Linked DNA regions of Yarrowia lipolytica. The protein of the gene in region 1 interacts with the protein of each later gene in a pairwise test. Links are inferred from orthologs where the notes say so. Each region holds a gene or a part of one and is shown in the gene's direction. Other genes may lie near its edges. The genes, in order: YALI1_B29785g, YALI1_F24469g and YALI1_D35809g.

What was found.
Region 2: the proteins of YALI1_B29785g (region 1) and YALI1_F24469g interact in binary tests that used the Saccharomyces cerevisiae proteins (3 or more experiments, as listed by UniProt). The link is inferred for Yarrowia lipolytica from reciprocal best matches to the Saccharomyces cerevisiae genes MON2 and DOP1.
Region 3: the proteins of YALI1_B29785g (region 1) and YALI1_D35809g interact in binary tests that used the Saccharomyces cerevisiae proteins (3 or more experiments, as listed by UniProt). The link is inferred for Yarrowia lipolytica from reciprocal best matches to the Saccharomyces cerevisiae genes MON2 and GGA2.

Annotation. Positions count from the first base shown.
Region 1 is NC_090771.1:2,973,540-2,984,743, forward strand, and holds YALI1_B29785g (uncharacterized protein), read left to right. Parts: upstream 1-5,016; coding exon 5,017-5,091; intron 5,092-5,189; coding exon 5,190-8,969; downstream 8,970-11,204. Other genes in the region: YALI1_B29742g (uncharacterized protein), read right to left, coding at 1-647; YALI1_B29753g (uncharacterized protein), read left to right, coding at 1,770-3,338; YALI1_B29779g (mitochondrial 37S ribosomal protein mS38), read right to left, coding at 3,662-4,351; YALI1_B29844g (uncharacterized protein), read right to left, coding at 9,464-10,867. UniProt on the Saccharomyces cerevisiae protein: Required for traffic between late Golgi and early endosomes. Required for endocytosis and maintenance of vacuolar structure.
Region 2 is NC_090775.1:2,438,368-2,450,505, reverse strand, and holds YALI1_F24469g (uncharacterized protein), read left to right. Parts: upstream 1-3,346; coding exon 3,347-3,398; intron 3,399-3,588; coding exon 3,589-8,411; downstream 8,412-12,138. Other genes in the region: YALI1_F24489g (uncharacterized protein), read right to left, coding at 1,032-1,547; YALI1_F24486g (uncharacterized protein), read right to left, coding at 1,583-1,720, 1,764-1,892; YALI1_F24478g (uncharacterized protein), read right to left, coding at 2,413-2,591, 2,645-2,684; YALI1_F24413g (uncharacterized protein), read right to left, coding at 8,497-9,144; YALI1_F24408g (uncharacterized protein), read left to right, coding at 9,632-9,925; YALI1_F24401g (uncharacterized protein), read left to right, coding at 10,397-12,138. UniProt on the Saccharomyces cerevisiae protein: Required for traffic between late Golgi and early endosomes, and for the normal structure and organization of the endoplasmic reticulum. Required for normal cellular morphogenesis.
Region 3 is NC_090773.1:3,576,247-3,585,495, forward strand, and holds YALI1_D35809g (uncharacterized protein), read left to right. Parts: upstream 1-4,610; coding exon 4,611-6,461; downstream 6,462-9,249. Other genes in the region: YALI1_D35768g (uncharacterized protein), read right to left, coding at 1-510, 618-679; YALI1_D35787g (uncharacterized protein), read left to right, coding at 2,412-3,587; YALI1_D35852g (uncharacterized protein), read left to right, coding at 8,933-9,249. UniProt on the Saccharomyces cerevisiae protein: May play a role in the regulation of membrane traffic through the trans-Golgi network.

The DNA of each region.
Region 1 (11,204 bases):
TATGATGAGGCCACGGAGATTGCTGAGCCAGGGGCGTCGTGGTTGTATGGAGTCTTCTGCAAGTCAGGGGTTCGAGGATTCGGCTCGGGGTGCAGGTTAGCTACGGGGATAGCTTGTAGCGTCTCCAGGGCTGGTGTTGTTTCTGTGGGGTTGTTTGTCTGTCTGCTGACAGGGACCGAAGACGAGCCTTGAGAGGTCATGCCCGACTCGGGAGATTTCGAGTACAAATCAATGATGCCGATTTCGTCGTTAGAATAAATGGAGTCTCGTGAAAGAGGCGGGGTGTCGCCAATGTCGACAGGTCGACGTTGTATGTGATGACCTGACGTGTCGTTAGGGATGCTCTGTGGAGGCGGCATTTGGTGGGCACTCATGTCTAGTTGTGTATCTGTTGAAGCGCCTGCCTTGCCGTTCTGTAGACCCTTCCCTAGCCCGCTAGGGCCAGGCTGGACCGTTTCCAGACCCATGGCGACCCCTATGCTGTCCACACTGCGCTCAAATTCAAAGGCTTCAAGGGGCGGAGTGTGGAACTCGTCGTCGATGCCCTCTTTGTCCTTGTACACCTTCTCAAACGCCACCGGCATGGAGCTCAGTCCAAACGGCTGTCGCGTTGTCATTGGTGTTGTGTACGTATCCTGATGGTGCATATTTCTTCCAGGTACAATTAAGACAATAGAGTTGCAGGGGCTAGGGGGTGAGAGAATTGAAGCAATAGTCTGCGGTGAACCAAGGACTAAGGTAAAGAAAACACGTACGGAAAAAATATCCGTCGATTTTCCTGCTTGCCGGTTATCCAACACCAATCCAACGTAGAGACTCTCTCTCTGCACCCTTCGGCACGTGAGCTGTACGGGGTGCAGCTGAGTTGGGTCACACTGTGTACAAGTAGCTGTGTGTAGCCTTTCTGGACCCGCTGTGCTGTGTGGTGTGCTGTTGGGACTCCCTCATCTCACTCCAAGTACGTACTGTACTCCACCTTGAGATTTCGCTAACAGAACTACAATGCACCTAACGTTAGACATGACTAACGTCGCTGGGATACTTACACCATACAGAGTTGGGCACGTGTTACATGTAAGGCTGGTTTGATAGAAGTGTATTTCTGTATATATTATACCTGTGCGGCCAACGTCCCATCACTCTCGGGCCCCGGCGTCGTTTTCATCTTGCTGGGTGGCAGCCGCTTCTCTGCAGCTGTCTCACGTGACAGATCGTCCAAAAACGGCCAGTGCAAAAAATATAGCGTCTCTCGCTGGCGGGCTTAAAGGCTGAAAGTACAGAGAGAAGAAAGTGAGTGAGGAATAAACGCTCAAACGCTCATGGGCCCACGCCTCGTGTCCACATGCCTCGGAAACTGTCTCTCGCTTATTTCCACAGATTGCCTGGAAAATAAAGATTAAGGATTGGGACATGAGGAGGCTAATGGAACAAAAGTTGCTCCGGGTCGTAAGGATGCGAAAAGGCTGTTATTGTGCCAAGGGGACACTGGCTTCTATACTTTCCATCATCTATAGCGGTGAGACCTGATCCGAGGAGATAATCTCGCTTTTCGCTGCCGCCAAGAGAGCCAAGAAGCTTGTGTCTAAAAACACCTTGCGTGGCCCTTTGTCTGCATCTAGGTTAAGCTGTGGGACAAGCCTGCAAATAGACTTCTTCTTTCATCTCCTCATCCGTAGTATCCGCTGCAACTCTTTCCCGCACACCCTCAACAGAAAGCCTGGCTCTACACACACACACACACACACTCCCCCAGCAGGTCCATTTCTCCCATGAAGCGCCTGTCTGTCTGGCGAGATCCGGTGTATCCGACAGACCACCCGGGATGTGTGCCCATCATCATAACAGAAGGAGCCGTCGACCTAGGCACCACCACGATAACATTACAGGGCATGATCGCCACCTTCACCCCAGCATGCTACCACGGCCACCCTGTCGCGGCCGTCGACTCGAGCGCCATGCATTTTCCGCTCTTCGACCAGATCCAGGAAGGCTGGAAACAATGGACTGATACTCACCAAGGCAAGTTTGGAAACTCGACAATGCCACTGACGTACTCGATGTTGATATCCATGGTGGTGGCGTGGATAGTGGTTCTTATTCTCATTCTTGGTGAAAACAGCCACGGCTTTAGAGCTCCTGTGGAGTCCAACGGTGGGTCAGAGACGACGGAACCATACAAGAGCTCGCTACAGTCTGATGGAAGCAGCTCTGCAGACTTTGAGGAGGAAAAGAAGGAATCGAGGATGAAACTGCTGTGGATGATATCGTTTGTCATGCCGCATAAGCGACCACGGAGACCGCTGTTGCTGCGTCTGGGTGTACTGGCTGGAACCATATACCTAACGATCATTTTGGCACACTCGACACAGCTGATTAACGAACAATACAATAAGGGATACCTCGACAGAAGTGAGCTGGTGGAGCGGCTGTCATCGTACGTCTATCTGGCTGTGCTGGAGCTGGTGTTTTACTTCATCATGCTGCTGGCACAGGTGCAGGTGGTTATGAGAGTCTTCTCCAGACGTATGGAGCAGCGGATGATTTTCTGGTTGGGTGGAACCATGTCTGTGGTCTGTCAAGTGCTGAATGGAATCACATCTATTGACATGGCTCTCCAATACCAGTTTTCCGGCTCGCTACCGGCCTTCCAATACCTCTTCCAGGTGGCCATCCAAATAATGTACGCCTGCTCCATGGTGTACTATCTAATCACCAACTCGAGGTCCACCATGTGCATGGAAATGGTGCCCATGACGCTCATTGCTATTTTGGCATCATCTTCTCCCGTGGTGTTATTTGTGGTGGACATTGCTAACGCCTGGCTAGTTGAATGGAGTGATTCGCTCACGTGGATCTCTACGTTGCTTGCTATAGTGTGCGCCTGGGAGTGGATTGACCGTGTGGAACGTCTGGAACGTCACCACGAAAAGGAAGGCTTCTTGGGTCGCCAGCTGCAAGAAGACGACGATTATCTCGGATTCGAGGGTGGAAAATCAATTATGAACCCCAGCGAATTCAGGGAATTCACGGACGTGTCTCTGGACGCGGATACACCAACTCCAAATGCCGCAAAGCGGTTCGTTCAGCCGCTCTTGGTGCTGTCGGACCGTATCATCGAGGCAGGACTACTGTTCTCACGTGCTTCGAGTACCTCTTATGACTCTGTGGACCAGCCAGATCCCCAAGAACTTCAACACAATACTCACGCAGCTCATGCTCGAGGACATAGTTCGGTGCGTTCACAACTGGCCAAAAAGCTCGACTATTACTACTCGAAAAAAACTAGGCCGCCTCCGGAACTGCTGGACACTCAGCATATGCCTGTTCATCGGCACTAATTTATTTATTTACTAACTGTACATTAGACTGAATACATTGCAATAGCTACATACACCACCCGTTTGAGTGATAAATAAGGTGGGCCCAACCCAAAGCGAGTTTACACTAAAGCCACAGCTTTATTATTGTACGATGTTTAGGCACCAAGCAAGGTGAACGTCAAAATCAAGCGCCAAAATTGGGTCGCGAAAATCATATACAGAAATTACGTAATTACACAGTGCTTGTCCTGATACTGTACATACTGTACGAACTGAAATAATGAAACACTCGTGTGGAAATATGATACATCATCATTTGGCTATCGCCGCTATATACATTATTATTTATCGAGCTTTCGTCGAAGAGCACGCTGAGCCTTTCTTCGCTTCTTGTACTTATGCTTGTTCATCTTAATCTTTCGCTTTCGCTTGACGGAGGTCATCTCCAGGTCGGCGTCGGTATTCTTGGCCTCAAACTTCTTGACGGCCTCACCGATGAACTTGAGAAGGTCCGCGTCAGATCGAGCGTTCTCAATCACCTCAAACTCGGACTTCTGAGGAGAGTAGTACTTCTCGTAGGGGTAGAGGTCGGCGGTGACGTTTTTAGAAAAATGCATCATTTCGGGGTTGGTAACCTGACCGGAAACGCTCATGGCATTAGGGAACAGAGGGTTGTATCCCTCGGTGGTTCCCTGTGCGTACTCGTTAGGCCGAGACTTGATGAAATCATCCATTCGCTTGGTGGCGGCGGAATCGGAGAAAAGGTGCGAGACAGAAGTGTCGAGGTACAGAGGTCGGTGTCGGCACAGAGCAATCTCAAAGAATCGGTCCTCGGGAGTTCCCTCACCCACCAGTGGCGAAGGGGGCAAATCAAAGTCCTTCCATAGCTTTCGCTTATCATCGCCACTCTGGGACGACATGGAGATTCGACGGGTTCTAGGGGCGTTTGCTGGTCGTGCGGTGGCCAGGGATCCTGCTCGCAGCAGCGATCCGGTGGGGCTGGCCAGCTGGCCAAGTCGTTTTGCTAACATGTTGTGGTGTTGGAGATAACCAACTGTGGGATGAAAATGTGTAGGTTAAGTAGGGTAAGTGGCTGAGATTACTCAGCTGATTTACAATTGATGGAGCTGTGGTTCGTGGTTGGGAGCAACCTTAATCAGACGAACACGGGTAACTTTAATTGATTATCGATAAAGTCAAGTGCAGAGTCAGTTAAAACTGGATGTTTTGTTGAAATTTGAGTTGGAAAAAAAAGAGCTCAGCCGAGGAATATATATAGGGGCGAAAATATAAAAAGTTGCTCTGTATTTCTGAGCTTCTAAAAATAAGTCAAGGGTTTTTTCTAGGCCTTTCTATTTTTGCGGGGTATTAATTGAAACCCCTTAATATTAGTCAGGTACAGTGTACACCATAACCACACCACAACGGCCACCGTTATTGCTGTAGTAGCGAAGACATACTGTAAAGAAGAGCGTCACAACACAGACAATAGGAAACCTCGGAAGTAAAATGGTAGGCATGTTTTCCCCCAATACATACTCAATCAACATCAACCGCTACAAGTACTTCTCACAACTGATATCTTGACAAACTAAGTGCCAGTGACTTGGGGACAACTCTAAATGCAGTCCTTCGCGATGTAGGCTACGTCAGATGTATGCACAGCTAAAGTTAACACCCACCAGTATCAGCCAGTATGAATCAGCAACTGGTTGTGGAGTTGTCCAGTCTGCTTGCCGAGAGCAAGCGAAGACACCCTGAGCTTCGTCAGGTGAGTATCTCCAGCGTATTGACGCGAAGGAAGTGTCGGCTTCTCTCACACGTGCCTCCCATGCGACACGGACACATGGGAAACAGACACTAACACAGGCTGCCGAATACACACTCGATGCTGTAAAGAACAAGCAACCGCAAGACCTGAAGAAGGACGAAAAGATTGCCCAGCCTCTGGTGTTGGCCTGCTCGTCACGTAACGCCAAACTCACAGCAATTGCAGTGCCATTGATACAACGACTGCTGGCTATCTCTGCGCTCTCCGACAAGTCAATTCCGTCAGTCCTGGGTGCGTTGGAGGAGGCTACCCACTTGGGCGTCGAAATCCAGCTCAAGATCCTTCAATGTCTCCCTACACTGATGGCAAACTACACCAAGGTGCTGCAGGGTCAGAACTTGAGCGCCCTGTTGGCGATCTGCTCAGCCCTCAAGGCCCCCAACAAGCCCCCTGTGGTATCCAATTCCGCAGCGGCGACACTCCAACAGTTAATAGTGTCTGTTTTCGATAAGGTGCGAGAAGAGCAGGACCCTCCCAAGACCTTTGAGGTGCCAGTCGACACAGGAGACAAGATTCTCGTGTCTCCTGCAGCAGATGACGCTCTATCTGTGTTGTCTGATCTCTGTTCTCTCATTGAATACCACTCATCTACTTTCCTGAAAGGCCATTACAAGGACACTTTCTGTCTCGAACTGGTGGAGAGTATTCTGCAGAACCAACACATGGTGTTTGAGGAGCATCCCGAGCTCATTTACTGTGTTAAGATGAAGCTATTCCCAGCACTGCTTCGTGGTCTTTCTTCCGAGGCACCGTTTCCCGTGGCTGTTAGAATCGCTCGAGTCTTGTATTTGTTGCTACGAACCCTGCTTGCGTTGGTGCCAGCTGAGTGTGAGGTGACATTGACTCTGTTCGTCCATCTGTCAAGAGAGCCTACCGAATCATGGGAACGTGCACTGTGCATGGAGATTCTTCAAGGTGTCTTCTCCGACTTTGACCTCCTTCTGGCCATTTATAAGGAGTATGACGTAGCTGAGGGACGCAAGAACATTCTTGCAGATACTCTCGGTCTGTTCCGGGACCTGCTGAAACATACCAAGGAGGGAACCAGGTTCAACAGTGCAACCAAGACACCTTTCATTGACACACTGGACAAGACAGAAGCACCGACTCTACCCGAGGGGTACGAGCAGTATCTTGCGATAACGTGTGCCAATTCCCTATGCGATGCGCTTGCAAAGTTCCTTCTTCAGAAGAACCAGGACTCTCGGGCAACTCTGTGTAAGCATCTCATTGACCACTCCTGGTCTACCATTCTGGATCTGTATAGTCCTCTGGTTTCTGGACCCTTTGAGGAGTCCCTGGATCTTCACAGCGTTATTCGTGCTGTCCAAAAACTGGCACATGTTGCGGGATATGTGGATAGGAAGACGGCGCGTGATGCATTCATGTCTCTTCTTGCCACAGGTGCAGAGAAACCACCCACTCAACGGGCTATCTTGTGTCTTCGGGCTCTAGTCAACCTCGGAACCGCCCTCGGAACTACATTGGGCTCATCATGGAGCATTCTCCTTGATACCCTACGGGAGACTTCGCAGTCCAAGGTCGGATCTGACCCTGCGGTGCTATCTGCAGAGAAGAAGCTGCTCGACTCGACGAAAGACTACTCAAATTCTGCTCTTTCAGACCTTGTAAATGCATTGACTCGATCAGCTTCCGAGTGGAACAATGACAAGCTTGGAATTGTGGCAACTTTCAACGTCACCAAGATTGTGGAGGAAGAAGTACTGTGGCAGAAGCTGTTAGGTCATCTCATCTCATGTGAGAGTTTACAGTGTGCCCTCATTCAGAGAAAACTCTCGGAATCTTCGGAGTCCGAAATACCCGAGGCTCATGCTCGAATATTTGATTCGCTTCTGAAGGCTGTAAAGAGCGACAAGTCGGAGATTGTCTTGGCTCATCTACAGACTACCCACTCGCTGCTTCAGCAACTGGGTAAGTGTTCCTCTTGGAGCACCATTTTTAGCATTCTGGACAGCGGTCTGAGAGATGACATGTCTCTGGAGGTCACCAAGGCCGCTTTTGACTCAGTCAAGCTGGTCTGCAATGATTTCCTTACCCAGTTGCCTTCCGATGCTCTTCTGACACTCGTGGACCTACTCTACAAATTCTGTCAGCATTCTTCAGACTCCAACTTGTCATTCACATGCATCTCTCTGTTCTGGACTGTGTCCGACTGCATTTTGCGCCAGGCCAAGGAGACAGACGACATCAATCGAGTCCTTACTATGTCCGAGATGCGAGACTCTACTGAGCCTCTTGCTCTGTGGCTCATCCTTATGTCTTCTCTGGCTCTCATGTCGCATGATTCTCGTGCTGACGTCAGAAATGGTGCCATCCAGACCTTCTTCCGAACTTTCGAGTCTCTCCCCAAGGACAAGCTCCAACCCAACCTGTGGCAGACCTTTTCCAGGGAGATTCTGCCTAAGCTCTTCTTGACACCCACAGGAGATCTGATCGAGAATGATCCCGCCGGAGCTGCAGCAAGGTACCCTTACACGGTCTCGCTGCTGCTTACTGGCTTCAATCACATGATGAGTGTTGTGCAGACCGTCTTGCCCGACCAGGTTGACATTCTTTTTATCCAGCTGCTCTCCTACTTTGAGCAGCTAAACACCACAAGCCCACATCCTGAGTATGCCGTAACTATCAGCAAGTCTTTCGGAGAGCTTCTGACCATTACGCCATTGAGCCGTGAGAGCATTGCTGCTGCATGGAAGTTCTGGCTCTCTCCTCCTTGGGGAACTGAGTATGTCAGCCCGTGGAACCTGGGCTCTGCATCTAGTGCCATTGCTGAGCATGCATCTGTGCACACCATTATCTACGATTTGGACAGAAATGTGCCTGATGCGACTTTGGACGCTTCCCTGGATGTTCTTTACAACTGCCTTCTGCATCCCCAACTTCCAAAGTTCGCTCAGGACCAGACGTCCACCTCTCCTGTTCAGACAGCTGTGCTGAAACAAATTTCGAATGTCTCTGGCCACCACGCCAAGGTCTTGGAGATCCTTGGTAGGATTTCCAAGCTATCCAGCACTGCCTCCAAGGAGGAGGATGACTCTCCCAAGTTTGGAGCTGCATCGCTGAAGGCTGTTGAGCTTTCCAGGAGCCGACTTCCTGAAGTTCCTGAGGCTGTAGATGACAGCGTTATCTCACTGTTGCTTCAGGACACCACGTTGTCATCGCTTGGTAATGATGCTACGGAGCTGTTCCTGGAGACTGTTGAAAAGGTGCTGCCTCGGTTGTCTACTGAGGAGACATTGTGGCCCCGTGTTGTCGAGGGTGGTTTGTCCATTCTGGCTCAGCGAAGTCAGGGTTTCCATAAGTACGAGAAGCTCATTTTTCCCATTCTTGGACTTGACCATGTCCCTGAGTCGCTCATTGACTCCCTTCTCAAGTCCATCTATGAGAACTCCCTGGTGTGGAAGACCAAGGCTTCTTCTCTGGGCTTCTCAGGCACTTTACAGGCCGTGTCAAAGCCTGATTTCTCTCTCTACTGTACAACACTATTGTTCAATTTGTGGATAGGAGAGGGGGATGGTACCGGGAGCGCTCGGGAGCGGCTCTCTCTGTCGTCGCGACAGTACGCCATGTCTCGAGCCCAAGCATGTATCTCTCAGTTTATTAACGACTCCGTGATTCGAGGCTCCATGCCCATTCCTAAGCTGCAGAACCAAGAGCTTCAGGTAATTCTCACGCATCTTGGTTTGCTAGTAAAGAAGAGCCCGGATAGTAAGAAGGAGCTCAAGGCGCTGTTCCCCTTGCTGTTGAAGCTCCAAATGCGTGGAGAGAGCACAGAAGTGATTCTACAGGAATTTTAACCACATTAAATAAAAGTATTTAGATGAATAATGACGTACAAGTACAAGCACTTATGTTTGAATGATGGATTCGTGACGTACAAGTACAACTATAGGATTTGCACGAGCAGCTGTCATTGACTGGAATGTGTGGGGTTTTAGGCTCAACTCTATTGCATGTCTTATCACAACAATATGTGGAGCTGAATTACCATGCACATAAGATCATCAATCTCAGTTGTTTCATCTATTTTGCCCAAAACTTTAAAACAGCGCCATTCATAACATTGGCATGAGACAGGGTCCGATCGGCCGTGACATCAGATTATGTACAATAGCTACGCGTACAAGTAGGAAGGAAGTATGAGTATTTTCGATAGCTGCTTTCTTGAACCTGAAGAACATAAGGAATATATAAAACTACAAGTACAAGTACAAGAATACAGGAAACATGGAGTGTATCAGAATCTAATTTTGATTAGGTATCATTAAATATGTTTTTCCAAACGGAGCGTCTAGAAAGATGCTCGGTTCCACAGGAAGTTGTTGGCAGCTCCACCAAGGTCTCCCTTAACCTTGCCAGTAGAGGCATCCTTAACCCAAGACTCCAGCACAGCAGCGGGGACAACGCCATCAGCAATAGACTGGAAGTAGGCAATGGCACCAGACACGTGGGGAGCAGCCATGGAGGTTCCGCCCATGGTGGCAGCAGCATCGTCGTTAGTAATCCATAGAGACAGAATGGTGACACCAGGAGCAAACATCTCGACACACTGTCCCTTGGCAGAAGACCAGTCCTGCTCAACGGCAATGTTGTCGAGGTGGTCGGTGGCTCCAACGGTGATGAGACCGGGGATACCCTTTGAGGCTCGGGCGGGAGATTCGTTGCAGGCATCCTGGCCGTTGTTACCGGCAGCAACAACGGTGGGGATACCGTATTGCTGAACGGCCTGCTGGAAAACCTGGTCAAGACCGGGAGAGGAAGCACCACCTCCGGAGAAGTTGATGACGGATCGGGGCTGGCCGGCCTTCTGGTAGTCAGAGAGAACCCAGTTCATACCCTGAATGATGGTGGAGGCATATCCCTGGCCCTTCTGGTTGAGAACCTTGACAGCGACAATGGAGGTCTTCTCTCCGGAGACTCCGACAGTGGAACCAGCCACAGTGCCGGAAACGTGAGTACCATGGCCGTTGAGGTCCTGCATGGGCTCGCCCTGGACAAAGTTGGCTCCCCATCGAGCTCGTCCGCCAAAGTCTTGGTGTTGGACGTAGGTTCCGGTGTCGACGACGTAGACGGTGGTGTCGTACTTGGAGGACTCTCGGTTGTAGGGCACTCGGACGGTGGAGGGCTTGTCGGGGTTGACGCCCTGGACGTTGTTGTTGAGGTGCGAGATTCGGCTCAGACCCCACTGAGCGACAGTGGTGGACTGGAAGTCTCGCTTGTGGAGCTCGGTCAGGTTGACGGGCTGAGCGGCGTGCTTGCCGAGGGAGATGAGCACATCCTTCTCGACGGAAGCGACATCAGGGGAGCTTCGAATGGAGTCCAGCACGGAGGAGTTGAAAGATCCAAAGTAACCGGTGAATCCCTTACCATCAGTGAACGCGTCGACGTCAAAGGCGCCCTGGATTCCCTGGTTGCTACTGGTAGCGGCAAAGCCGTTGGTGCCAGCCATGGCTCCGACCTCGGGAGAGACCTTGGAGTCAAGGTCCTGGATGTGACCGTTGATGGACTGGATGGAGGTGCCGTTCTTGAAGAAGACGAGGTATCGGTCCTTTGCGGAGTCGGCCAGGTCACGCTTGGCGTGGTGGCCCTGGTGCTTGTTGATGATGTTCAGAACATTGGAGTAAGCAGAGGCATCAGCGTCAGCAGGGGCGGCTGCCACAAGAGACAGACCAGCCAAAAGGAGTGTGAATTTCATAATGAGTGGCTAGAGGCGAGTGACTGATTGCGACTAGAGCCTCGATAAAAATGGGAGCGCCATCCTTTTAACTGCGCCTAACGTGATCGACAGTGTTTTCGTCGATCAACTGGGGTGTGTCGCGAAGATGTGGTTCGACAAAGACTTCTATCGCAAGCATAGGAGGAAAGATAGGTCTGTTTGCGGACGGATCGTGTCACTAATTGAATACATAAACCGAGCTCATACCAGAGGTGCTTCAAGGAGTGGTCACCTCTGCATCATTATTCCTCATCGACATCCACAATGCCCTTTCGCGCGAGTGCAAAATAAGTTTGATCGTCGCCCCCTTCGAAAA
Region 2 (12,138 bases), on another chromosome or scaffold:
CTTTCTGTGGATCAAGGGTGCAATCGCCAGATGCGCAGCTTCAGCGGTTAGCCGCTCTAGCACAGCTCATGAGAGCCCCCACGGAGTTGAGTTAACCAAAACTGACTGCCATAAACACTCGTAGGCGTAATCGGCGTCGGTATTTGGTTAAACAAGGAAAACCTCCGGGAGCCGGAGCCCAGTTGGCTGTAGACAAGGGAATTGGCTCTCTTTCTAACGATAGCTGGCAGGGCTGGCCATTAGGTACGACCCGCTCCGTACTGTCTAATGCTGATGTTGCAGCTTGTTCGGACAATTAGAGGGCTCATCAAGCCGGCAATCGGCAATCAGCGACCGAAATGCGTAACTTTGTGTAGGGGTCAGGACAAAAAAGAAATCTCCACCTGGATGGAGAGACAAAAGTACTTGTACTGTTGTTGTGGGGGCTGCAGGGCTTCTTGGCGTGGATAATCGGAAGATTTCACGGTTGACGTCCGGGTTTGGGCAGCCATGGACTGCGTGTACTGAATCGTGACAAGTGCTGTCTGGTTGCTGAGTCACCAGGGACAAACGGGACAAACGGGACAAACGTTTACCCATCAAGGTAGGTTTGGACGTTCTGTCTCATAGGTTCAGAGCTGCTGATGATTGAGATTGGAGACACACAGCCACCGTGTATCACAACCTCTTTCCTAATGAAATAATCTCATGGTTTCATAAGAACAAGAGGGCCCGCTGGCAGAAAGTTTGCGAGCTTTGAGACAAGTCCAACAAGGGAGTCGCTGTTTTGCTGTGGTTGCGTAGCTCAAAGTTTGCGATCGGACACCTGAATTCCACATGCAATGAACCGACAGACTGACACTGAGACACTGACTGAACACTGACTGACCTGACTGACACTGACTGACTGAACGACTGTCAAACAGACTCAATTCGCATTAAACTGAGATTGCAGGTCCTCCAGCGGCGTGTCGAACCTCCGAACAAAGTTGGTTCGGAATGCGTGCGTCTGGGTCGTAGTGTTCAAGCGGCTAAGCCCATTTGGGTGCAGATCAGGTCCCCAAATGTTGGAGTGGGGGTCCAATTGACCTTGGAGGTTGCTGGGCCACGATCTGGGCGTCCTTGAGGGCCCTGATCTCCTCTCTCTCTTTCTTTCTCTCTCTATGAGTGTCCCGGTACAAGATTGCATGTCCAGGTCCGGAGCCACACAAAGAAGCGATCATCAAGAGGGGATACAATGGTTCAGTTCTTTTCTTTCTTCTCTCTAGCGCAAGTACATACAATACGACACTGTATGACATCATGCAACATTGAGGAAAAGAGAGCGTCGAGCCTGATGGATATATTTTATCCATATAAACGCACCGTGTCAGAAGAGGAAGGTCCAGAGCATCACGAATCTCTGGTATTTGTGCCCACAGTCCTGATGCATGGGGCATGAACAACGTTGGTGAGAGAGGAAAAAAAGAAATCAACACATTCACGGTTGAAGTGGGGGAGGAGGAGGGATATGAAAGTGTGTTGAGGATCTGAGGTGGGCCCACAGACTGGATGTATCTGTGAAACATTGGACCACAAGATGCGCCAGTGTTTTGCGACTTTCTCACCCATACAAACAAGATGCCACCCCCTTAATCCACCCCATCTGCATGATTAAGGGAGCGAAAAACTCGATCGGCCATGTGTTTGCTACTTGTACCTTCGAGGCTAATCGTGACAGGGCGGAAGGAGAGGGAGTGTCCTTGTAAAACATTTGCCCTGATACAGTAACTGGCTCAACTCACGCAGGGTCTTCCCAGATGAAAAAATAGCCTTCTGTTTGTGTCAGTTGAAGCTGTCTGTGGCTGGCTGAGGTCTGAGACAGCTGAGGCCATGGATGGTGCTGAAGGCGGCGGTAGTACAGATGTCGTCATACCGCTTTGTCGCCATCATCTAGGCCTCGTCCCCAGGCTGGGTTCTCCTTGACCCAGTCTACGTCGTCTACTTTCTCCACCACTGGTCCATCTCGACTTAGTGAATACCGATCGAGCCTATTGAGCACGACGGTATGCAAAACAATGCCGCGAGCTCATTAATGAACGCTGTTGCTGCATGATACCTGTAGCGGATGGACTTGACCCGGGAGCCGTGGGCCTTAATTCGCTCGATCTTCTTACCAACCAGCATCCCAAAAGAAATATGCTGTGTGAGCGTTTTTTCACCGTTGCCGCTATAGCGCCCAACCTACAGTTAAGACTCATCATCTCTGTCACCCATAGATGGTCTATAGGTTGCTACTCGGGGACAACTGGGAGACTTGGTCCAAAAGTGAACGTCTTTCTGACAGCACAACCGGGCCACAGCTCATCACGCACATCCTAACGAACATATATGAACTCAGGTGGAGTAGCATGTGCAGATTGCGGTCTGTGGTGAATCCCAAAGGGGCAAGAATCAATTAATATGGCTGTAAGTTAGCCAAGCGTTCGTGTAAAAAGCCTCCTGCAGGGTGTGGTTCCTACACCGGGAAGAGATGGCACGAGACCCAATCGCTGGCGATGAACTACGGCAGATAATAGGACAGAGAGTTCGATAGTCAATAATTTCGGCCGTGCTAGACATTATGAAATGGTCTTATTCACCATAAAAGTCAAGATTCAGTTCCGACTATCGCTCTTAGTCCCACCCTTATCGAGCGTTACGTCCATGGGGTTTAGCCAACGCATCTGCAAAGACGTTCTTCTGTTTTAGGAAAACGAATGAATAATATACCTCTACTATCGCTAATCTTCTCTTCGCAAGCTTAAGATGTGAATTTGTCATCTTACTCAGAGATACAAGTGTCCAACTGTTGAGGTGGTGAAAACAGTACACACCGTGAGGTCTTTCTTTCCATAATTACAAGTTCCCCGAAAGTGGGTTCCTATTAATAGGTTAGGGCATCAAATCTAACCTACCGTGGAGCTTCTCAATCAGCATGACTATTCCCTTTGCTCTCTACTGTGCTTGTATCATTTTTTTATTTTTATTTTATTTTTGGTCTTCCGGATGTCTGTCCGCGCTTACGTAACCCACGGAATTTACTTAATCCCCTAACTAAAGCTAACAAAAAACATCTGAAACGTGTCACTCTCCCATCAGGGGGTTAGGGTAGTTTCACGTGTCTACCTTTGCCGGAGTGATTAGTCAGGTGGCACGACAAAAGCGTTCAGAGATACGATATCGGGTGGTCGCGGATCTGGAAACCCACTCATTCCTTCACTCTCACTCGCCTCTTGACGTTACAATATGTGTCCTATTGTTTCCACCCAAGCCTGCCATGCACACGCATCATCATGCTGTGTGTATCTGAACCTTCTGTCAGCTACAACATAAGGGTATCACCAACATGTTTCGGTCAATATCGCCATTGCCATTCTGGTCCAAGGATGCGACCCAAGGTAAGTATGAAGAGGGTTATGGCACGCAAGCTCTTTTTTTGTTTGTGTCTGTTCTTCTTACAGCACTGAACGCCTCAACATGAGGACATGTCACGAACGCGTTAGGGGGTGGTAGAAGAGATCCACAGCGATGATCCGGCACTAACGACGACTGTTCGAGTGTGTGCAATGACAGGACTTACTAATTCAGACCCAAAAATGAAGAAATACACGTCAGCACTAGAGAAGTCGCTGGCTTTATGGGACTCGGTCGACGAATGGGCAGACTACATTTCGTTCATTGGCAAGCTGCAGAAAGCACTCAAGAGCCATTCCAACCCATCCTACCTGCCGCTACAGAGCGAAATTGCCTCCAAACTGGCCTGGTGTCTGCTGCCAAACCTGCCGTCAGGAGTGCACCAGAAGACCCTGGAGGTGTACCGTCAGGTGTTTGAGATACTGCGAGGTATCGGCGACTATCACAAGAGTCTGGACGGCAAATCGGTGGACCCCGTGGCCCAGGGAATCAGAGTCTGGCTCCCCGGACTGCTCCCGCTCATGGCATATGCATCCATTAACGTCAAGCCCATCTTGATTGAGGTACTTCAGGAGGACATTGTGGAGAAGCTGCCTCAAGCGACTCTCAAAACGACAATTCGACCGCTGCTGCTCTCACTGCTTCCCGGTATCGACGACGAGTCAAGTGAGTCATTCCAGGCGTGCTTTGATCTCATTCAGAAGCTCAAGCTACGTCTCCATGATGAGCCCTACTTTTGGCAATGCTTCTTCCTCACCATTGTATCCGCTCCAGATAAGAGGCAAGGAGCGCTGGTTTATGCATACAAAGAACTGCCCCAGTTCTCCAAGGTCGAGGGCATCAATGAATCCGACAAGATCATTCACAGTCTATCCTACGAAGCCCAGTCAGCTGTCACTCCGGAATGTGGCCTGCTGATCCGGGCCTTCTGTCGGGGGCTAGAGGACGACCAACTCCTTGTCCAGCGAGGTTTTCTGGAACTATTAGTCAAGAACCTGCCTCTCGATTCTCCTGTCATTACAGGCCTGGCCTCTAAGAGCGACATTTCTCTGCTGATGACAAGCGCATGTGCCGCCGTGCTCAGAAAGGACATGTCTCTCAACCGAAGGCTGTGGGCCTGGCTTCTTGGACCCGATGATGTTTCCATGAAGGAGTACTTTACAACACACGGCCGAGATGCGCTTGTCCAGGGCATCCTGGCTCTGAGTTCGCCAGTGAGAGCTTCCAAGATTTCTCTCTCGTTGATGGATCGATGGGAAATTGGATCTACTGTGATTCCAGAGATTCTGACACCCATTATCCAATCTGTCTACGACTGTGAAAAGAGACCTGACTACCAGGATATTGTGTTGTCAGCCTCCGCCTTTGTTGACTCAGTGGAGGCAATCAACATTTGGGCCGACATTCAAAAGATGCTCAAGACTGGCTCTCTATCTTTGGCTTTATTCACACTTCAAACCTTCAATCTTTCGGACGAAGAGATGATTGTCAAGCATGCTCCTTTGGCACTACTGAGCCATCTTCTGTCTGGACGTTTTTCTCAGTGGAAAGAGTGGAACGAGATTGCTACTCTGTTGATTGAACTCATCCCCGAGCGGGCATTTTTACCAGTGGAACATTCGACGCTCACTGATGGCGATTTCCAAGTGTCCACTATTGAGTCCAAGGTCGAAGAGTACTACGATGGCGAGTGGGCCGATGGATATGGAGCTGCTGATGTTTACTTGTTGCTTCTACAGACCTCCACTCGCTTGGCTGATGAGTTCTTCCAGAAGGTCACTGCTGAATGTAGTAATAACCCAGCCATCTTCTCCAAGCTTGCACTCATCATTTCCGAGCTACAAGCCAAGCAGGTTTCTGGTTTTAAGTCTGAACAGCTGGAAAAAACTCTACAGCTGGCAGGTGAAGAAGCAGTGGCTCAATTCGACCCCTTCTCCAGCTCTCCCCTGCCTTCTCTGCCTCCCGTGGCTGTCCTGGGATGGACCAGGCTGTACCCGCTGTTCCCAGCGAATCTTCTTGCTCTGGTAGGATACATTTTCACATCATTAACCCCCAACTCACAGTACTACAACGGCCCTTTCCACAATGCAGAGCTGGTCAAGGCGTTGTGGTCTCTTCAGGCTGTTCACGGTAGCGATGACAGGGAAGTGGAGGCTGCTCTGAGTATTCTGTTTTCGAAACCCTGTGATGAGAAGTCACAAGTGTTTTCGGCTATTTGGCAGCACTCTCTTTCGGCACCCAACTTCTCCAAGTTATTGGCTCGACCCTTGTTCCTGTATCTCGACTTGCTTCCTCTTCCTACCTCTCAGTTGGAGCTCTATGGCAGCAATGCAGGCAAAAACAAATTCCTCGCCTCTGATGTGTCGTCCAATGAGCTGATTTCCCTGGCTTTTGCATCGGAGAAATCTCTTGCTGGCTCTTACTGGCTCAACACAGTGGCTTCGAGCGGGTCGTGTGATAAACTATTCTCACTTCTCCTAGACCCTCTGTCCAAGTCCGCATTTTTCAGCCGGCCAACCGTTGAAGGCAAGCTGCTGTTTGAAGAGTCCGATGACCTGGCTCTTTTCGCATACCACGTCTCAGCTCTCACGAAGGTTCTTTCTGCCAATAATTCTAGCATGGCCAAATTCCATTTCAACAAGGAGGAGGTGGAAGAATTTGACATCAACGATTACTATGAAGGCAAATCCACCTATGCCGCTTGGACTGCCAACCTGATGGCTCATTTTCTGCAATTCCAGGCTGTTGATACGCTGGCATACAGTTCAGCTCTGTCTGCAGTGCTCAAGCTGTGTTCCATTCTGCTTGATTCGCCTCTCTTCCCTACTTCCAAAGCCAATTGGGAGGTATTTGTGCGCGTGTTGGTGACTAAGCTGTCTGACTTGGTAAACCAGGACTCGGAGCTTCAGGTCATCGTGCTTGCAGTTCTTGCCAAGGCTCTGCAGGCCTTGGATCTTTCCATGACGCTTTCCAAGAGCGAAAAGTTCATTGGAAACGGTCCTGTGGACATCCCCTTGGTGTCTGAAACCTCAGATGTGAACATTCCCGGTGTTTTTATTGCTGTTGTTCTGCATGGCTTGTCTTCTCGAAAGGGCGTTATCATCAGTTCGGGATGGATTCACTTCCTAGAGTGTCTGCTCGGAATCTACTCTACTGATTTGTTCCAGATTAGCATTGCTATCGTCGAGAGACTGTGTGCTCTTGTTGATGGTACCCCCGTTGCTTCTCTGCAGAAGCTTTCTACAGGCTCCAGGGAGGTTCTGGTCGAAGTTGACGACAAGGACGGCGAGAAGGACCCTGCAGTTGGCGATACAGTCACTGATGTCACGGCACCTCTGTCTGACTCCATTATTCCTTACCTGACAGGTCTGGAATACTGTCTCGAGTCCCTTTATCTTGCTTACACCAAGGTCGAGGCTTCGCAGGAGGAACTAAATCTCAACTCCACGGGGTGGATGACCAACGTGGTCAATGGTGTCTTATCTCTGGAGGAGCCTACAAAGGGCAATGGCTACAGAATGATTGTTCTGTTGTGTTTCCAGAATGCCGTCAAGAGCTGCTTCAATCTGTGGCGGAAGGTCGATGGACAGGAGGCCGAGGAATACACTTTGGACAGCGTTGTCTACCTTGGCCAGCGGTTGAAATTCCGAGCTCGAAAAATTCTCGACAAGCTGTTCTCTTTCGAGCGAGGTGAGGTTCTTCAAATGCTGATCGAGCTTTCGGAGGATGATATGCCCCATGTGTTGAAGGTATTGCATGTTCTGGATGGCTCTCGGCCCAAGCTGTCGGTGAGCCAGTTGCTTCAGAGTCTCTCAGATGACCAGAAGAAGTCAACGGCCTCGTTCCTTTTGGCTTATGTGAAGTCTCTATCCAACGACGCTGTAGAGGACATTTACACGGACTACATGGGTTTCGCCCGAACCGTCATGCTGAACCCCGTGCCCTACAAGGAAATCTTGTCTCCCACCGTTCAGACCCTCACTATTATTGGAGTCAAGATTGATGGCAGCAACTTTGCCAACCGAAAGGTGAGCAAGGAAATCTCTGATGCTGTTGTGAAGCTGGTCGGACAGGTTACCGATGAACAGACTCTCATGAAGGTGGTTCCTGTTCTGCGAACGATTCTCATTGACCAAGACAAGGTGAGTTCCGTTTTGCAGGGCATTGTGAACAACGTCGTGATCCCCAAACGGTCTTTTGAGTTACTCGGCGTCATCACTCAGATCCCAGGAACCGTCAAGGTGTGGAAGAGTGCCGTTCACGACTTTTTCATCGAGGACAACTTTGTCTACGAGGCTCCCTGGCCCCAGATTCTGTCCAAGTGGTCCACGTGCACCAAGGAGGTTTCTGAGCTCATCACCGGCTCATCTGGTGTCTTCAACTGGGGCTCTCGAGGTAACAGTGTTCGACGTTTGTGTTACCTGTTGCTTTCTGGCCAGGAAGACCAGTTTGTGCTTCATATGAAGGAGATCAAGGGCATTCTGGATGAGATTGAGCTCGAGTCCTTGTTCATTGCACTGCGTGCTATTGTTATGCGGTTCTCTGCCACTCATCTGGTTCCCATTTGGCCTCTGGTTGCCCACAACCTGCAGGTTATATTCGAGGGTCTGCTGCAAGGTAAGGAGACGGATAACCGAATCGTGATGAGTGCCTGTAAGCTGCTCGATCTTGTGCTGGTGCTTAACCAGGAGGATTTCCAGCTGGATCAATGGCTGTTTGTCACCGATTCCAGTGATGCTATTTACGGACACCCTTACGGTATTCTGGATCAGTTGGCTGAGTCTACGCCTGTCAGCAGTGATGATCTTCATCTGGAGGAGACTTCCAAGCGACGGCCTTTGCTTTTTGGACAGAAGATTGGTTCTCTTACCTCTCTTGCACAGCTAAAGCCTTTCTTTGACCGGCTCTCCATTTACAACTACGAAAGTGTTTACGCTCTCAAGGAGACTGATCAGGAGGCTTGTGAGCTGGATCTCTTGGCCGATATCCAGGAGTAAAGATGATATATTATACTAAATAGATTAATGAATGAATGATATGTATGCGTGTGAAAAAATGTAATTAATATGCAATGATGGTCTACTACTTCAGCTCGAATCTGTAGACACTTAGAAGTTCCCTGCCTTCTTTTCTTTCAACAATGCGCGTCACGATCCATCCCAGTTCCCTCATTTTGACAGCCACTTGTTCTGGCTTGTTGCTTGCACAGAACAAAATGTAGGCGATTCCGTTCTTTGACAGTATGGTCTTCAGTTCTAGTAGCACCTTCCAAGTCACCTGCATTCCGTCTTCACCTCCAAGAAGTGCCCAATCGACCCAGTCACCATCTGTCTCCGGGTAGGGTTCTACGGGCTTGTCGTCTGGCACATATGGAGGGTTGAAGACCAGTAGATCGATGGTATGAGGTCTCATCATTGTGGTACGTTCTCCACGAAGCGCCTCGAGGTACTGGGTGCCGTTGTTTTCTTTTGACGTGGCCAGAACCTGGTTGCATGCAAAGGGGCTGATATCTGTAGCCAAAAAAACGCCTTTGGGCACCACGGATTTCAGCATGAAGGTGGTGACGATGCCTGATCCGGTTCCGATCTCTGTCACCACAGGGTATGACAGATGGCTGTTGATGTAGCTCTGTTCCATTTCCAGCACGTCCAGGAGCATGAAGGAGTCTTCGCTGGGCTCGTAGACCTCTTCATAGTTGGCTGATGACGTGGAAGGTGTTGGAAACGACATTTCTGGGTGGTGTCTAGACTACGATATTCTTTGGTGGTTGTGCATGCCAAAATATATATTCGCATGCAACTTAAACTCGTTCCAGCTGCAACTCAACCTCAACCACTATACAAGCCACGCAACATGAAGATCAAGATCAAGGTGAGTATGATTTGGGGAGACCGCGGGGTACATGATTGGGGACTCGAAAGAACTCATTGTGCGCATCCTCCCCGCAGATTCGTGCTTGCGGTGCGCTAACTTGGAAATGCTAACACAGACACTCATTGGAAAGGAGGTGAGTCCTGAACCACGATATACACCCAGCAGTAACATTCCTAGATGAAATGACATTTGGAACACTGTTGCGGCCAGTGTGTGACGACGAAGCTAACACAGATTGAGATGGACGTTGAGCCCGAAGATCAGGTGAGTATGAAGAGATGGAGGGACTGGGGGGACTGTTGCGAAGTGGTCACGCGTGCGTGCCACGATGAAGTTGGCATGAATGAGACACGATAAGGGGAAAAAGTCATGGGAAAGTGCTGTTCTCTATCACGATCCTACAAATGCAAGGTTCACTTACGGACCTGTTCGCACCTATCCCGTCACCACTCAAACAGGACTAACTCAGATCTCCGTTCTCAAGGAGAAGATCGAGGAACTCGAGGGTATTCCTCCCGCCCAGCAGCGTCTCGTTTTCACCGGAAAGCAGCTCCAGGACGAGAAGACCATTGCGGAGAACAAGATTGAAGCTGGAGCCTCTCTGCATCTGGTCCTGGCCCTTCGAGGCGGCAACTAATGTATTGATAATTGACTGATTAGAGGATGTGGGATGGGGCAGCGTGAACTACGTGCTACTGGATGAACATATGTGGAATTAGGTATAGATGTGAATAGGTAGTAGCTACTTGTAATACTTGTAGTCTTTTTGGTTGCCATACAACTAGCTACTGTAGCTACAGTATGTTCTGTAAGTACGTAGTTACATACAATACTTGTTCCTGTATTGTGGCGCCAGTATCGATATAAAGATAGAATAGACCGACAAAACAGACGGGAAAACAAATGTATCTCTTAGCATTAGGTGTTGGAGGTAGTACTTGTCTATATGTCTATATATACTGATTTCCACAAGTCAAGATGCGTTCACACTGTTCCGCTCATCTCATGTTGACTCGACGAAGCTTAGTTATCACTGCAAATAAAACCTTCGCAGAATCATCACCAAAAAATATTGACGCCATATACGACCTCGAAACACCACACCGGTATGGAAGGAAGGGTGAAAAACAAAGCGCCCGCCGCGTTGCAGATTTCTGCAGAGCAGATTTTGCTGGAGGCATATGAGCGAAAGGAGACGCCTCTTCAGCAGACAGAGCAGATTGCCGATCTGGAAGAGCTGGCAGAGTACCAAGGCCGCAAACGACAGGAGTATGAGGGAGCCTTGCGACGAAATCGACTGAACACCGGCCAGTGGATGCGGTACGCGCAGTGGGAGCTGGAGCAACGGGAGTTTGCACGTGCCAGATCTGTATTTGAACGAGCTCTCGAGGTCAACCCAACGCATGTGCCCACCTGGATCCGATACATTCAGTGCGAGCTCAAGGAGAAGAACATCAACCACGCACGAAACCTGCTGGACAGAGCCGTCACACTCCTGCCGCGTGTCGACAAGCTGTGGTTCACATACGTGGCTACAGAGGAGACGCTGGGCAACATTGCCGGCTGCAGAGCCGTGTTTGAGAGATGGATGCATTGGAGGCCGCCGGTGACCGCCTGGGCAGCTTACGTGAACATGGAGAAGCGATATCGTGAGTTTGACCGTGCGCGGGGCATTCTGAGACGATATGTCACTGTTCATCCAGGTGCACCAGCATGGAACAAATGGGCCAAGTTTGAGATGGAGGCAGGAAACAGAGACACCGTCAGGGAGGTGTATGCTCTGGGAATCGACACATTGGTGGAAATGGCGCATGGAGGCGTGGACTTTCTGGATGAGAGTCTGCTGGCTGGATGGGCGAGTTTTGAGACTCGTCATAGGGAGTACGAAAGAGCAAGAGCTCTGTACACTTATGGACTCGAGAAGCTGCCCAAAAGCAAGTCTGCAAAGCTGTATGCTGACTACACGGCCTTTGAGAAACAGTATGGAGCCAAGGAGGGTATTGAGAATGTGGTTCTCACTAAAAGACGATCCAAGTACGAGGATCAGTTGAAGGAGGACCCTGCAGACTACGATACGTGGTTCTCTTACATCACTCTAGGTCAGGAAAGTGGTCTTGAGGCCGATCAGATTCGTGAGATCTTTGAACGTGCTGTTTCTAACGTTCCCCCACATTCCAAGCGTCTTTGGAGACGGTACATCTTTCTGTGGATCAAGTATGCCATCTGGGAGGAGCTTGAGAACAAGGAGGTTGAAAAGGCCGGTGAAATCTACAAAACATGCATATCTATCATCCCACACAAAAAGTTCACATTCGCCAAAGTGTGGTTACTATGGGCCAAGTTTGAGATTCGACATGGCAATCTGCCAGAGGCTCGTAAGATCCTAGGCCGAGGACTGGGCATGTCGGGGGGCAAACCTGCGCTGTACAAGGGATACATTGCTCTGGAGGCCAAACTGCGTGAGTTTGACCGGTGTCGAAAGCTCTACGACAAGTATGTGGAGAAATTTGCCGAGTTTGCTGCTCCGTGGATGGAGTATGCGGAGCTGGAGCAGATGCTTGGTGACGAGGAGCGAGCTCGTGCTATTTTTGAGCTAGCTGTGTCGCAGCCCGAGATGGAGATGCCTGAACTTGTGTGGAAACGGTTTATTGAGTTCGAGGCTGAAGAGGAGAACTACGACCGAGCACGAGCCATCTACCGACAGCTTCTTGATCGAACCCACGGTCACATCAAGGTGTGGATCTCGTTTGCCCAGTTTGAGGTCACTGTTCCTGCTGAAGACCAGGAGCTGCAATACAACGACGAGGGAGAGGCCGAGATTGAGGTCACTGAAGAAGCAAAGGCACGCGC
Region 3 (9,249 bases), on another chromosome or scaffold:
TTGAAGATAGCCAGCTCCTTGCGCGACAGTGTGTCAGCCTTGGCGATGACGGGGATCAAGTTCACTCGAGAAGACAGCTTCTTCATGGCCTCAATGTCCAGGGGCTTGAGTCCGTGGCCAGTGGGTCGAATAAAGTAGATACACGCGTGGACTCGCATGTCAATCTTGCCGACACGGTTTGGTTGCTGTTCCTGACGCATGAAAGATTCATGCTGGTCGTCCAGAAATTCAACAATGGGCTGCCAAGAGTCTAGGTTGTTGACATTGTCACCGAATCCGGGAGTGTCGATCACGTTGAGTCGCACTCGGAATCCTCGCTCCTCCAGCTCGGCCTTGGTCACGTCGATCTCCACCGTCTTCTTGATGGGTCGCTTGAACCGCGTCTTGTTGTCTGTGTAGCTCTTGATGGATGTGGAGAAGAGGGTGTTAACGAAGGTGGTCTTTCCGAGACCAGACTCGCCAGCCACCATAAGGGTGAAGGTAGCTCCACTCTTGGCCACAATCTTGTGTCTGTGTTAGTGGTGTATACAATGTCTCCACGTAGGACGAGTGATAGCTCATAACCAGTGTATCCGTGTTTCTGAGCCCATAACCGGTTCACACTTCTCCATACTCACCGCTGGTTTGGCAGATTGGCCACGCCAATGCTCTGAATAGCAGCCTGTGCTGTGGTCGCCATGATTGATAGGTATAATGTCGTGATTAGGATGCGAGAATCCTAGGAGGTGCAGACGTGGAGGTTAGCGTAGGTTACCCGGCCGAGAAATAGGGGGGAAATCAACAATTCGACTACACGTCATAATTTCTAATTAGACAGATTGTAATGTGACCAACAAATATGTAGCGGTGTATTCTCGAGAATTATTACCCTACGTCGTCCCACTCGACCTGCCGTGTTAGGCATTCGTAACCACATTTACATTGAACGCGTGCTGCCAGGCAACCGCCGTCACGTGGATACAACGCGTCCTGTTCCAAAACAACGTGTCTTGGGTTGGGAAACTTTAGAGCCGGCAGTGAGCGTTCCCAGCATGGAATTGGTATGAATGCCGTACGAGTACTTATAATTTGAAAAGAAATTAGATCTAACGTGTTTCGAACAGCTATTTCTGTCTTGTCGGGTCCGCGAAAATACGAAATACGAGGCTGTCTCGCTGCTCTAATGTGTCCTGTAACCTGCCTGACACAACCCCATAGTCAAACGGTTTATCATAGAAGGTGGCTATTGTTGAATTGTGAGTGAAGAATTTTTCGGTGCTAACAATGACCATCATAGACATGTGTCTGAGAGTGTCACCAGCGGTAATATCCGATTGGCTGTTATTTTGGACTGAATCCATCCACTTGTCGGGCGAACTACAGGTACACCTACCACGGTTCGTACGTTTTCAATTATAATTGTAGTCAAGCTTGGTGCCATTGAAGTGTGCAGCTGATAAGGGTTCTGTTGCAAATTGGGACATGTAAGTGCCAATACTTGTACATACTGTACGATACTTACTGCACTTGGTCAGGTATAGCGGTCAGGTATAGCAGATTGTCCCTCTCTCTGTGTACAGTAGTTGCTCATAGCCGGACTTGGTTGCTCTAGTTGTTACCCCAGGTCCATGCATTGATACTTCCACGACGAGTCAAAACAGCCCTTAGAGTCGTGCATACTGTAAAATGTGTCACCTCGTATCCGCCTAAGATAGTATGAGACACTCAAGTTGTGCAGATATACTCTCCTTCCTCCCTCTCATTCAAAGGACCCCAACTCTAGCCCGCTCCCTACAGTACATTCAGAGCTAACAGATGCTGTACGGCGTTATTCTTACAGTAGAGGAACGGTGGCAGGTACAAGTTGCATTAGTGGTCTAGAGCTGCACTGCATGTTGTGAGAGCGGTCGTGCTCACTGTCGCTACAGTATAAGAGATGACCTTGTATCGCTTCATTTATTTGTGCCTGTGACATAGATCGCGTTTTTTTAACTCGGACCTATAGATCAAGATGAAACCCAACCATGTGTTGATAAAGGAGCGAGCACACTCGTTCGTGGCACACTGCGGTGTAAGGGGACCCCCAAGGACCTTACATGAACATTAGTGTGTGGCATTTGGCTAAGAAAGCTGCTTTAGATCCTAGAACAAAAAGTCATCTGAATTCATCTGTTCTTACAGGTACTCGTACGTCATAACACCTCGTTTATTAAAGGCAATTTTTTACCTCAATGGTGGCCTCGCCATAATTCGGAGCTTGACTATTGTGTGTTCACGAGTGAACCTAAATGGCCCTACCCACTGTCTGTTTTAGTGAGTCATTGTGTGACTAATGGAACTAGTACAACATGTAAATTTGGGTCGTGGGATAGGAGGCTGTCCAACATTTGTCTCTTCTTCAACCACTATTCACGGTATTCAGGATATTTTCCATGTTAACCTCATCCCGCAGAGAAACTTTCACGGTCGGTGCAGTGACTCAATTAAGGTACACCATACCTCACCACTCTCACTTGTCATCAACACCCATGTCTCTGCCTCTCAACACCCAGCTTAAGGCCATTTTGGACGACACCTTCACCCCCGAGGATCTCGCCGAGGTCCTGGCTCTGGTCGCCCAGGAGAAGGTCCCTGAGTCCCAGATCATCACTTTTCTGGCCCTCTTGCATGCTAAGGGTCTCGACATGAACGCTGCTTACCTGGCTGCCGCCGCCAACACCCTGCGACACGCTGCCCGTCTGCCCGACACCTCCAAGCTTGATCCCGAGGGTTACGTCGACATTGTCGGCACTGGAGGTGATGGACAGAACACTTTCAACGTGTCCACCTCAGCGGCTATTGTTGCTGCTGGTATGGGCATCAAGGTCGGCAAGCACGGCGGTAAGGCCTCCACCAGCATGTCTGGAGCCGGTGATCTGCTCACTTGTCTCGGAGCTGACATGTCGCGAGTCCACCAATCCACTGTGCCTGATATTGTCGCCAAGGGTCCTTTCTGCTTCCTGTTCGCTCCCATGTTCCACCCCGTTATGAACCGAGTTGCCCCCGTCAGAAAGTCCATGGGTATCCCTACCCTCTTCAACGTCCTGGGTCCCCTCGTCAATCCCATTCCAGTGAAGGCCCGGATCATCGGTGTGTACTCCGAGGCCCTTGGTCAGATCTTCGCCGAAGCCATCACCCATATCAACAGAGTTCAGGGTATGTCTCAGTCCCCTGCTCTGGTTGTCTGGGGAGAGGAGGGTCTCGACGAGATCTCTCCTGCCGGACGAACCAAGGTCTGGAGAGTTACTCCTTCCCAGGAGATTGAGGAGCTCTACCTCACCCCTGAAGACTTCGGTCTCTCTAGACACCCCCTGTCTGAAGTGTCCTCCGGTACCCCCACCGAGAACGCTACCGTGCTCAAGCAGCTTCTTTCCAATGAGCTTCCCGATGGTCACCCCATCTCCGATTACGTCATCATGAACGCTGCGGCTCTGGCTGTCATTGATGGTCATGCCAAGGACTGGAAGCATGGTGTGGAGCTTGCGCGAGAGTCTATCAAGTCTGGAAAGGCTCTCAACGCTCTCGAGACCTTCGTTGAGGCTTCCAAGGCGGCCCCGAAGGAGGCATAAACGCTCGGACAGACGAAAAACTACTCACCCAGGCGAGAACACTATGGACGTTTTGACCCACGATGGTATCTACATTACATCCATCCTAGCTTAGCTAGAGGAGTCCGGGTACTCCCCGTATTTACGCTGCTATAGGTAGTATTGTTTAGGTGGTATAAGTTGAGGTTGTAGATGTGGAAATACAATAGATATTGGAGCGATATTGTGCCTGTATGGATGGTGCAACGGTTATCTAAAAAATCAATCTGATAGTGCTGGTTTTAAGGTTCCGATTGGAAAGTCTTCGCCAGCAGCAGCAGCTGTTTTCTTGTATCGTAGCTGACACTGTAGCCGATGCATTGCATGAACAAAGCTATTTGCTTAGGCCTCCTCAAAGCTACTGCTTCCCACAACGAGGGCAAGAAGGAAATGAAACATTTGCTGGGAGGAGAAAATCGAAACGATTATCTTACAGTTGCAAGGACGTCAGATAACGCACGGCATGAGACCAACCGCCACCTCTGTTATGGCCACGCTGTAGCTGCGGCATTTAGATGCGCCAAGCCCTACAAGGGCACACAAGGCTTATTACCAGCCAATACCAATGTACTGACCAATATATAAAAGACAGGTGGTGATTGAGCGTTGTGCGGAGAGGTGGTGAAAAGTTTTTCACTGATGACAAAGCGGCACTCCCCGTCTGAGCTGGAGTGAGACCCCAGTCAGTCAGCCACATGGTTACCCACTAGAGATTACAGGATACGAAATTTAAGCGCAACGCAGTGGGAACCAGGTGGTGAGGAGGGGATGAGCTCTACAGTAGATGAATATATGGCAGCAGTTGTAACACCAGTATAGTCATTTAAATAAGCCCTTCATATTCTAGTGCTAACCGCTTCGTCGTCCCCACGCAGTAATTTGAAAACAAATGTCGGCCAACCCTAAACTGTGGCAACGCATGTATTCCGCACCTCCCAATCGACCACATCATCTCGACCTGGTTGAACACAACTCCGACTCCACAGCGCAACACACCACAAAAAGATGGCTGACTACACCGCCCGCTTTCGAGTGGACGACGACTACTACGTGCAAGCCACGCCCCGAACCGGCAGTGGATCGTCGCAGTCCAATGCAAAACTGTTCAAGCTAATCAGCGCAGCTTGTGCCCCCCATCTGGTGGAGCCCAACCTAGCGCTGGACTTTGAAGTCGCCGACTACATCAACTCCAAAAAGGGCAATAGCGCTCGGGACGCTGCCCAGGCCATTGTCAAGCTCATCAACCACCAGTCCCGAAACGTGTCCATCATGGCTCTGTCGCTGCTGGACATTTGTGTCAAGAACTGTGGCTACCCTTTTCACCTACAAATCTCCCGAAAAGAGTTTCTCAATGAACTGGTTAAGAAGTTCCCCGAGAAGCCCCCAATGAACTACACTCACACCCAGTGTCTGATCTTGGAGGTGCTGCAGGACTGGCGAGAAACACTTTGCAAGCACTCGCGGTACAAGGATGACCTGGGATACATCAGAGACATGCACCGGCTGCTGACCTACAAGGGCTACCACTTCCCCGAGGTCAACCGAGATGACGCTGCTGTTCTGCGAGAGGCTGAAAGTCTCAAGTCTGCTGCTGAGCTGGAGGCTGAAGAGCAGGACGCCCACAGTGCCAAGCTGCAGGAGCTCATTCGATCCGGATCTCCTCGAGACCTCCAGGAAGCCAACCATCTCATGAAGATCATGGCTGGTTTCAAGGAATCAAAGACAAACTACGCCGCCAAGGCCGCCGAGGATCTGGAGAAAATCAAGACTAAGGCGCAGCTTCTCGACGAAATGATGCAGGGGCATCCCAGCGGCACCCCATTCAAGCCCGACGATGTCTACGCAGAGATGTACTCTGCCGTCAAGGCTGCCCACCCCCGAATTCAGAAGATGACTGAGGAGGAGGGTCAGGACGAGGAAACCGTGGCCAAGCTTCTACAACTCAACGACTACCTGCATTCTTTGGTTGAGAAGTTTGAGCTTCTGCGAAAGGGCGACTTTGGTGGAGCTGGCGCCGTCAACACAAAGGCCCCCTCTGGATCTGCGACCTCCAAGGCCGTTGTTTCCGACCTCATTGACTTTGGAGACGATGAGCCTGCAGCTGGAGGAGCTGGAGGAGCGACACCCGCGGGAAACTCCGGATCTGGCTCCGGCGCCGCCGTCGACGATCTGCTTGGCGATCTCAATGGTCTGTCCTTCAACAACAGCTCCGGTTTTGGTCAGGGTGGCTCCATTTCTCTGCTGGGGGCCACTAACGCAAGTAGCGCTGCCTCCCCTGCTGTGTCCGGAGCCTCTGGAAAGCACTCTGGCACACCCGCTGGATCCGGAAACCTTTTTGACTTGGACTTCTCTCCCTCGGCATCTCCTGCTCCTGCTGCTACTCCTGCTCCCGCTTTCAACTTTTCTTCTCTCTCCCAGCTGACTGCCAACAAGGCCGGTGAGACACACGCGGTCAAGACAGCACCCTCTGAGGACCCTGCTGAGGCCTGGAACTTTGTGGGTGCTTCTTCCGGTGCTGCTGCCGGTAAGGAGATTTCTATTCTGCAGACTGGCGACATCAAGGTGTCTGGCCTGGTCAGCAGGTCTGGCAGTAACGTGGAGATCACTCTGCAGTTCTCCAACAAGTCCTTCACTGATAACATTACCGCTCTGGACTTTAAGATTGCCGCTCCCAAGTCTGTCACTCTCAAGCTAGACCCCGCATCCTCCGACACTCTTGGAGCTGCTTCCATCAACGGAGTGACCCAAGAGGCTCACGTTGGCAACGCTGGCGACAAGCTGAAGCTGCGATTCAAGCTGAACTTCAACATTGGAGGGAAGGCTGTTGAAGAGGTCGGCACCGTGGAGGACCTGTAAATGCAAACTTATGCTATTAGTGCCTCTTCATGTCCGTAACGAGTAATGACTGTTAATATTTTTTTCATGATCCGCTCAGTAACGTACTTGTAGATTGGTATGGAGTCTCAGGATGTGTCTCAGACTGTTTGTGCAAGATCTACGGACTGACGATCGACCTCGCGGGTATGTACATACTTGTAAGAACCGTATCTGATAGTCAGCCTTTGCACGACGAGAAGAAAGAAAAAAGCTGACCCCGTAGACAAAATTGGAAACGCGTTCTCGTTGTAGCTCACATACCGTCGAACAAGGTACTTAGTGCAACACCAGTACATACTCTACCCTGATGTGCCAATGATTCCTTAAACCCAAACACAACCCGTGTATGGCGCAAGTAACGTTATAGTTCTACAAGTAGTTCAATTACAGGCACATTCCGTTGCAAGGTCATTTTGACGTAACATGTCATTGCCGTGCGTACTCCTGAGATGAAGCCAGAGTCACAGTGGGTGTTCCATTTTTAGATGTGATGTAACATGGCTCTCTTCTGACATTCTTGTGATGATCCTCTGTCATACCTCGAGATGTCTTCAATGATCACGGCATCTGCCGATTGGTGGAGTACATGGTAAATAATTTGGCTTGGGGTTGATGATCTGTTATACTTCGGTTTATTGATTCATGGTCGATTAAAAGACTGAAGTTGCTCAGGATATATATCCCCCTCCTCTTCACTCGGTATTAGCCGTGCTCAAGCCAAACACTGAGGTCGTACTGTACATACTCGTAGGAAACAATGTCCTATTTGCACAGTTTCAATATGATTTGCAGTTCCGTGAACTCTCACCCAGCCTCGCCCTGTTTTTGTGGCTTACACATAACACGAAGTCTTCATTCATGGTATGTGTTATAAGTGAATTGGCTCTTGCTACTTCTACTGTGCTCGTAGTGGACTTACGGTACAGTAATGTATGACAATCTAACGATTGAACTTCTCCAAGAACGATGTGCTTGCACTCGCAAATGCTACAAGGGAAAATTCCGTAGCTACAGCTGATATACCTTCAGCTGCCCCTACTACTCGTACATACTGTACAGCACCACTTTCGACATGGGTATGGAGTCAAACTCATGCCATGTATTGTACTTGTAGCTACTGTATGTACACTCGTAACTACACCAAGTTCCAAGTAGGAGCAGGCTGAACGGACAGATTCCATTTCGGGAAACTGACTTGCCAGTACCAGAACAATTCTTTCAACCAAAAGCAAAGTCGGAAGCCTTTCTGTAGTTATATATAGCAAACGAGCCGTGTCGTGTATGGAACTATCGAGCGCATAATTACTTTTCCTGTAAACCTTTAGCATAATAGGGATTTCGAGATGTGATTGAGATTTTGGTGGCTACTTGCATAGATTTGGCCACTTCAACTCAGGTTAAGCTGGCTTGTGCGACAGAAGCGTCGGCGTTCATCTTAACTTCCTGGTAGCTACTGTTGTTCGTCATGGGTAAGATCTTCATAAGCATTAAGCATCGTACAAGTGCCGGTACGAGGCCAACCTGATCATCCCGAAGAAGCCTCTGAGGCATATTCAAACCAAGGTTCCTTCTTGAACGCAGAAATCAAAACAAGAAGGCAATAAATGCAAATTATAGAATGGGTACGTAATGATAACTTGAGTATCCGTACCATATGAGAGGATGAGAACAGCTGCTTCGGGGAACTGTCCGTATATCTATCAAACGAGGGCCACATCGCTCCAATGGTGATAATTTTTGTTACCATCTTCCCCATGTACAGCCGTTTAACATAATGCACAGATTATCTAAACCATCTCATGTCCCTCAGCAGACGGGTGATAGATAGCTACTTTTACATAACCACATTCCCTACATGTTGTCTCAGACTTAAAACCCCATTAAGTGCATAATGGTCACTCGGTGCTCGAATCGTAGCCCTTTATGAAGCCTCATGGTAACGGGTCTTAGGGCCGATATACTTACCAGGTTCATTTGACTTCCCTTTTGGTCTTGTTATTGCTACACTCGGAAGTCTTCTTGGACTCTAAATTTGGTTAGTGGGGGTCTCAGTAAGAACATCAGAACCTCTCATGATACATGGTGAGCCCTGGAGGTACCAGTATTGAAGATGCAGTAGAAATCCAAAGCACATTTCTTCGTTCCAGTTCTCACTCCCAACACTTTGATTGTATAAGAGGAAATCACTGAACAGGGGGCCTCATCTATGTATGTACGAGTACACAGTATGTACCTCTTGTACCTTGTAATGATGACTACAGTACAGTACAAGTAGACCGACTGTAACTCTATCCCTACACGGTACAGGCGTATTCTATACCTGATGTTGTGAACGTTAAAAATGGTGGAGTTGGGGGGGTGGAAAGTCGTCATAATTGTATATATATCCACCGTGTCCTCGTCTGTGTCCCTCTTTTCCCGCAACAAATACACTCGTTCCTTCTCTAACTATGCAGTTCTCCGCCGTTCTTCTTGCCGCTGCCGCCGGCCTCGTCTCCGCCCAGAAGTTCTCTCTCGTTGCCATCCGATCTGGCTCCGACATCCAGAACGACGCCATCACCTCCGATGGCAAGTCCCTTGTCCTCAACGGCAACACCCCCACCACCTACGAGGTGATTGGCCGATCTCTGTACGCCAACGGTAAGCCCGTCCAGTTCGGTGACAACGCCACCATTGTGGCCACCGACGGTCAGGCCTCCAAGGACATCATTGTCAACGGTGACAACCATCTCTACGTCCCCAACTTTGACTTCACTGCCTGCCCCAA